2 linked regions of the Styela clava genome follow. Each later gene encodes a partner of the first gene's protein in a complex. Links are inferred from orthologs where the notes say so. Each region holds a gene or a part of one and is shown on either strand. Other genes may lie near its edges.

Evidence for each region.
Region 2: the proteins of medium-chain specific acyl-CoA dehydrogenase, mitochondrial-like (region 1) and electron transfer flavoprotein subunit beta-like are in contact, whole or in part, in a crystal structure (PDB 2A1T), measured with the Homo sapiens proteins. The link is inferred for Styela clava from reciprocal best matches to the Homo sapiens genes ACADM and ETFB. Residues at the interface, in NP_000007.1 of Homo sapiens: Glu43, Gln44, Lys46, Glu47, Phe48, Thr51, Lys54, Phe55, Glu58, Glu59, Arg80, Glu83, Leu84, Gly85, Leu86, Leu98, Leu100, Ile108; in NP_001976.1 of Homo sapiens: Glu73, Arg76, Thr77, Tyr192, Ala193, Thr194, Leu195, Pro196, Ile198, Met199, Lys202.

What each region holds. Positions count from the first base shown.
Region 1 is NC_135253.1:6,156,857-6,160,535, reverse strand, and holds medium-chain specific acyl-CoA dehydrogenase, mitochondrial-like, read left to right. Parts: upstream 1-1,017; 5' UTR 1,018-1,049; coding exon 1,050-2,318; 3' UTR 2,319-3,147; downstream 3,148-3,679. UniProt on the Homo sapiens protein: Medium-chain specific acyl-CoA dehydrogenase is one of the acyl-CoA dehydrogenases that catalyze the first step of mitochondrial fatty acid beta-oxidation, an aerobic process breaking down fatty acids into acetyl-CoA and allowing the production of energy from fats.
Region 2 is NC_135253.1:364,733-368,664, reverse strand, and holds the start of electron transfer flavoprotein subunit beta-like, read left to right. Parts: upstream 1-1,465; 5' UTR 1,466-1,591; coding exon 1,592-1,642; intron 1,643-3,932. UniProt on the Homo sapiens protein: Heterodimeric electron transfer flavoprotein that accepts electrons from several mitochondrial dehydrogenases, including acyl-CoA dehydrogenases, glutaryl-CoA and sarcosine dehydrogenase.

The sequences.
Region 1 (3,679 bases):
GAATTGCCCTCAGGCCGTTCTCGTTTTCCGTTGCAGTAACAATAATAAAATTTCAAAACGAATTAAAAGTGGTTTCTTGCACCCTATTCCGACAGATGAACAGTCTCAATGTCTCACGAATGCGTGTGTTAAGCTCGGTAAGCGTCGCTACAAATGGAAATGTAACATCGATTTCGTCGTCAGCATGTGAAAAACATTACTCGTTTCAAACAAAACAAATGCGTGCCACGAGAAACTAGAAAATTCCACAAAACTCAAAATAGGGTTTGAAAACACTCCGACTGATATGCCAGATTACCGCATTCAAATTTTCTCTAGTTAATGGTATTCCTTGCTTTGAATTCTTTGCTTATCAAGATATTCAAGCTTGGTTTTTCATGATATTATGTAAAACCCGAAGCATTTCTGTCAGCTGTCATTTTATTTTGCAATGAGTTGGATTATTTCACTCTTTTTCAGTTATTCATAGATTGTACGTTCTTTCGCTTACCTTTTCACAAGTTGCGTAGAGCCTTATGAAGAAAAGATTTCAATTGCTTATATGAAATTGTTTCGATTAAAAACTCTAGGAACTACGTATTTTACACTCTTAACTACTACGTATTTTCGCCACCTTGTCGCACATTTCCTTACGAGAGATCGATGATTAAAAACCCAGATATTAATAAAAAAAATTTATGGACTCTTACTTAAGACCTAAGCACTTAAGTATCAATAATGAACCTGGCGTTCTTTTGGGGAATAGTCCTCATACCTACAAACATTTATAGAATGGTTTTAAATGATATTTGAGAACGAAAAATAGGCCAATGTCGAGGTCTGTGTCGTCGACCAACTCGAATTATTGGCGCCCCAAGCACGCGCTCATTTTGCTTAATGGTTAATCCAACCCTGCTGCTAGCCATTGCAATAATCATAAATTCTTAGACATATGAACTAGGCTAATTGGGAGCCTCCCTCGTTTTTAATGCTTCCACAAAGTGGATTATTCAATTTTTTCTACCGATTATTAATAACGAGTATTTTGCTTGCCTAACAGACGCCTGACAATGAATACTCTGGGTGCGAATTTCCGATTGTTGTGTAGTATTAGGAATAGTTATACCAAGAGGCTTCTTCTGGCGGCTCGCAAACCCCCCAGTAGTGCAGCTTCCTCTTCTGGCTTGTGCTTCCAGTTATCAGATGAGCAACGAGAGTTTCAGGACGCTGTCAAAAAGTTTACAGCAGAGGAAATAATACCGGGAGCATCAAATCTAGACCGAACGGGCGATTATCCCTGGAAAATACTGAAAAAAGCTCATGAACTAGGATTTATGAATTTGCATATCCCAGTTGAATACGGCGGATTAGGATTGTCCACACTTGTCATCTGTATAGTAACAGAGCAAATTGGGTACGGTTGTACCGGAGTTCAAACGGCGTTCGAAGCAAATAACTTGGGACAAGTTCCGGTTGTTGTTGCAGGAAATCACGAGCAAAAAAGTAAATATTTACGACGAATGAATGAAGAACCGCTGATGTGTGCATATGCGGTCACGGAGCCCGGTGCCGGTTCCGATGTTGCCGCGATAAGTACAAAAGCTGAAAAGAAAGGTGACCATTACGTCCTCAATGGCCAGAAAATGTGGATTACAAACGGCGGAGTAGCCAATTGGTACTTCGTTTTAGCAAGAACCGTTACTGACCCAAAATTCCCAGCATCAAAATGTCTTTCTGGTTTCATAGTTGACGCCGATACGCCTGGTGTAATTCCTGGTAAAAAAGAGGTGAATATGGGACAACGATGCTCAGATACAAGAGGAATTACTTTTGAGGACGTACTTGTACCAAAAGAAAACCTTTTGGGAAACGAAGGAGATGGATTCAAAATTGCTATGAAAGCATTTGACTACACTAGACCTGCAGTTGCATCGGGATCTTTGGGACTTGCTCAAAGGGCTTTAGATGAGGCGACCAGATATTCTTTGCAACGCAGAACAATGGGAAAAGTTATTGCTCAGCATCAGGCCGTCTCTTTCATGCTTGCTGAGATGGCAATGCAGATTGAGCTTGCTAGGCTCGCCACCCATAAAGCTGCCTGGCAAATAGATAATGGATTCCGAAACACGATGGAAGCATCAATTGCTAAAGGGTTTGCTGGTGATGTCGCTAATAAATGCGCATCGGATGCGGTACAGATTTTCGGTGGTGCTGGATTCAACACTGAATATCCGGTAGAAAAGTTGCTGAGAGATGCAAAAATATATCAAATATACGAAGGAACAGCTCAGATTCAACGCATCATAATCGCAAGAGAACATTTATCAAAATATGTTTAGATATCATTCAATATTATTATATATTCTAAATCAATATTGTATATGAATACTTTAATTAATGGCAATATTGTATATGAATACTTTAATTAATGGCATATGGCATGACGTTCAAATCAATCAGTCGAACCATATTCATAGAGTGCCACTTAGCGACAATAGCTAAACGTCAAATGTTATGAGCTACTATACTGTATAGTGTATAGTATACCAATGTTTCCCAATTCCGAGGCCGCGGACTCAAATACCTCGCCTCAAATTGGTTGCCACAATCCGCGGTGATATCATAAATATTCAGTATCAAGGCTCTGGTTAATTATCCAATAAATAGAATCGTCGATTACTATGAGTCTGGTATAAATTAATTCCAACAACAGTCACATATTTCTAAATTACGATGCTCCACACTACAACGTTAACAAAAAATGTAGCCCGAACCTAGAAATAAAAGTCTGAGACAGAAAAGCTGAATAAGTCATTAGGTTAATATAAGCAGAAGCGATATCAAATAATAATATTTCTTGCCTGTAATATATTCCACAACATTTATGATCTAGAATCATGGTTTGAACAAAATATATATTTGCTGATTTCTATCTCAGGCTCTGTCACAACTCACAACCATGCATTGTGTGTAACTGTAGGTGGATAAGTTCTCCTAAAATATTACCACATTTATGATTCCGACAGCGTAAAGGCCATTGCTCGTTTTTTGTGATGAATAATGTCACAAAATTCATTCTAAAAAATATGTTGCGATTTGTGGAGAATTGTGAAATATTAGAACAGCCATGAAAAGGTAAACTTGAAAATAAAATGACAAGAATCGAGATTTTTTGTATTAAATGACGGAGAAATAAGGATGGGCTATAGCTGTCGTATCACCATTTGTTTGTGCCACAAAAACGAAGACAACAAAGTGCAATCGATCACGAATATGCTACTTGTGTTGTCGAACAATCTGCCCCACTGTGTACAATCCTATTTATTGCCGAGGATTTGTGTTGATGGTAATTCTCGAATTGAACATGCTACCGAATGAAGCCTTGCCCGAATTTTAACTTGATTGGAAGTGTGTTCTGCTTCTGGTTGTACTTTTTTTATCAATAACTGCAGGACCAATTGCCTTGGAATTTTTAGTGGTGGAAGATTGTATTCGTCGCAAGAAGACTATCAATTTTATTTATTTAGAAAAGCTGTTGTGGGCCCTATTGAATTCGTTTTTTGCGTGCGATTACGTCATCAAAAGTTGCACACCTTGAGGCGGTTACGTTTGCGTTAGTCGTGAAGGTTGCGGTACGTTGTGGACTAAGTGCGCAAATTTGAGCATAGTTCTCTTGTTTTCATTACAGTACCAAAAAAGC
Region 2 (3,932 bases), about 5.8 Mb from region 1:
AATAGGATTCAGAACTTAAAATCACATTGAATTGAATCGACTTGCTATCGAATAGAAAATATTTCAGTAATTCGACTAACTTAAATTGGATGTTTGTGTATTGGGCTCTACTAGCTTGCTGGAATAGTTCCTGCTTCTCTTCATTGGTGTAAACCTAGTTTTGTTTGTGGAATACAGGAAAGCTTAGTTTTGTTTGTGGAAAATTAATAATTAACAACAAACAATTTAATGTATAAATGTATTTACATGTGAATAGCAACAGAATTATTTTACAGAGAAATCTTACCTAATCAATTTCTATCAGAAACCCCCAAAAAATATGATACGAATGAATATTTAAGTCCAGTTTCGAAAATTATTTTTTACGCATTTCGGAGAACCAATTTCTAATGTCTGCATCGAAACAACACTTTTCATTTAAGTGGAACAAATCAACGAATCTACCAACACTAACCCCAGACGAAATCATCGTAATGAAGCTCTTTGGATTCAATTTGTTCAGCGTATATAAAGTTTTACTAAAAACCTTGTCTGTCAGGTGCTTATTTTAGGTATGTATGTGTGGGGGTAGGGTTTATATATTTATCCCAGGGCAAAGAAACGCCGATAAGATGACTATTCCTATGGCGAACCACGGCCTCTTGTCCGGTTATTAGTTCATGCCGTGTATGAAATACGTGAATAGATTTACTGTATATATATTGCTAAATAAAAAGGCACTTGATAAATTCAACACCAACCACTCACATATATTCTTGTTTTCGACCAACGATAAATAAAGATCATACGAAATATGTATTTCTGTTTCGGAGTATTCAGAAAGTTGCAAAGTGCCCTGAATCAACAATTGCCCGATTTTTTTAAAATTTGTGCCCAGCTTTGCCCTATTTTAGAATTAATTTTTCAAATAAATCCAAAACTTGAGACGTTAGACTGCAGATTGCCAAACAGTATTGCTTCTTGTGGTATTGATAATGCTCAAATTGTCTTAGAAAAAATTCCATTTAAAAAAGTAAAGCATAGTAAGTTCTGGCAAAAATAATCTATGGAAATTGGAAAATATGGCGAAATCACCGAGAAGAATGAAAATTCGAACACCTGCGAAATTTGACACGTCTCCTCCAGCCACAATCGTTTTTGTTGTTTTACCAAATATATGTAAATTCAATCATACAAAATGTGTCTATTTAGTTTATTTTTTAAAAGTAATCAGAAACATTTTACGAAGTGCCTGAGATTTCACGAAAGCCCATTCGTCTGATTTTGAGCTGAGCGTTGCCATATTTTACGGTTGGAAAATTGATTATACCAGGAAAGAATGATTTACCTCCACAAACGAATATTATATTTCTATTCGATACAGAAAAGTATAAATCTATTCAAGATCTAATAACAACTGAAACCCCAACTAACTACGGAGAAAATTCAAAAATATGCCAGAAATAGTGCCTAAAAGTGTCTGGTTTTTGGGAGGCCAAGTTGTGTAGCTTCGCATTGGTGTTTGGCACACGTCTACCTATGGTTACGGTAATTTGTTTGTACCCCTGTTAGCAGTAAATTTCATTTGTCGCACGTTAAATATTATACCAAAATGGCCAGAGTTCTTGTTGGAGTGAAGAGAGTGATCGACTATGCTGTTAAGGTGAGTTCTAAATGTAAATTCTTAATACCTAATGTTAACGGCATACGAAACCACACCAAGACCATACGGTACCGGTACCTACTGACCTACTACCGGTACGAGTCCGATCGAACTCTGGAATACGCGTTTTTTTAGTTGTCTTGGGGGTCTAAAAAGCATTTCAAGCTATGGAAAATTGCTATCCATGATACGGAAAATTGATTTCATCTTTTTTACATTTTAAAAAGGGGATTTTCGGCCCGCAAAACCACCCCCTGGCTACGCCACTGTCGAGCTCTGTCACTTCAGCACATACCGTAGAACATTAATGAACCAAATTTCCCCAAACTTAGATTAATCTGCCTCCATACAATTGTCAAGCCCATGCTGAAAACAAATAATGAAATAATTGTTGAACTGGCTAACGAATCCCATACTCGACATGGACTAGTAACCAGACGAGAGGCCGTGGTTCGCTATATGATTAAGTCGTTTTATCGGCTTCCCTCACCCCGGGATGATACATAAATATTATCCTATTTCAGTATTTTTGTTTTCGTTATTCCAATTCCTTCATATTTAACAATCCAGCAATCAGACAATAGCCATGTCAGCATGTACCGTAATATTCCGAAAAAAAAATGGCCCTGTATGAGATTATCACTTCTTTATCACAGCCCAGCAGCTTGACATCGCTAACGGGTTCTAGCAAAGTTGACTCTGTAACTGCTTAAATAAAGACAAACAAAAATGTAATGTGAAGTACAGCCCAATTTTTTTTTTAAAGTCTGTCTCATGCGGAACTCTATACCCTATTTGGCATGAGACATATCTGCCTAGTTGAAAATATAGCAGGTTTGATTTCAATTAAATGCTTTTGTCGAGAACTGCCTTCCGCGCCAAATTTAAAATGCAAAATAAATGCGACCCTTCTGCCAAAGTTGTGGCCATGTAACCCTAAGATATTTCTTCATCAGTATGCTCACAGCAGTACAGTCTTGACAACACCGGTGTTTGGTTTATGTCTTTGAATGACAATAGGTAGAAGGAAAAATGGGAATTCAATCATAGCTGTACCTTGCAATAATGGAAAAATCTGATCTGTTTGTCGCAATACTTTCCCTTAAAGTATTCACTTTTTCACTATTTTTGATCTCTTAGGGCAGGGGTTCTCAAACTTTTGGTGTTGCGGAGCCCCTGAAAAGGTTGACCATTATTCGCGGAGCCCCAAAAGAAATGTTAAAATTGTAGCTTTCCGATAAATATTCCTGAGTAAGTTAAAAGTACTTAACTTAATTTAAAGGCTAAACCTTTTTTTGATGGGGTTAATGCAAGTCATAAATAAATCAAAATTTCAAAGATAAATTATATATACTCTTACTAAAGCTGTAAATTTGACGCTTGACAAACATATTAATAAACTAGGGGTCGAATCTTTTCCCTTTTGACATTTTCGGAAGACTTAAAACTAAAAGGCTGCTAATAACGTGCGCGATTGCATTTTGTTACAATCACCGATAGTTTTCGTCAGCATGGCATGTTAAACATCTTTACGCCAGTGTTTATTCTCCCTAAATCAAAAATTTTCTTCGGCTTATAGACGTATTGTTCCACAATGACGACGATAATTGCAATTTATTATGAGTTCAATGTGAAAAACATGTTACCATATATAGTCATCGGCGACGAAATGCTAAAAATAATAATTAATAATAAAGAGGTAAATCCGCAACTCAAATTTCTTGATTGAAAAACGGCATTCCAAAATATTAAATTTCAAAATAAAAGATCACACTATAAGTTTGGTTTTAGCAGACTCACGTCAGATTAAAAACGCTTTTATAGGCATTGTAAATCACAAAATTTGGTGTAATGTTAGGTTTTCTTTGGTTATTCGTAGTACAGTAACTGAGAAATCGAAACACAGTCAATTGTGTGCGCGATTTATCTTTTTTTTATTCTGAAACTACCGACGGAGCCGCATGCATTAAAATAAATTTCAATCGTATTTTGCCCAGATCTTGTGATTTTTTTAACGGCGATATCTTGCTTAATAATAATCTCGAGTGCAAAAGAACAAATCAAGTTTGACAAATTCCAAGATCGCAAAAATACGACTCCAATTTATTCATAGGTGGCAGTTTATCACATATTTTATGTTATTTTAGAATAGTATTCCTTCATTTTAGTAATCCTAATAGTAATCTCGAATGAAACTTGAGTAACTATGAGTACAATTGAATTATTACGACGAGACACTTTAAATGCTCGCATCGACCATACATTGAATATTTTACGCAACAGAAATCTC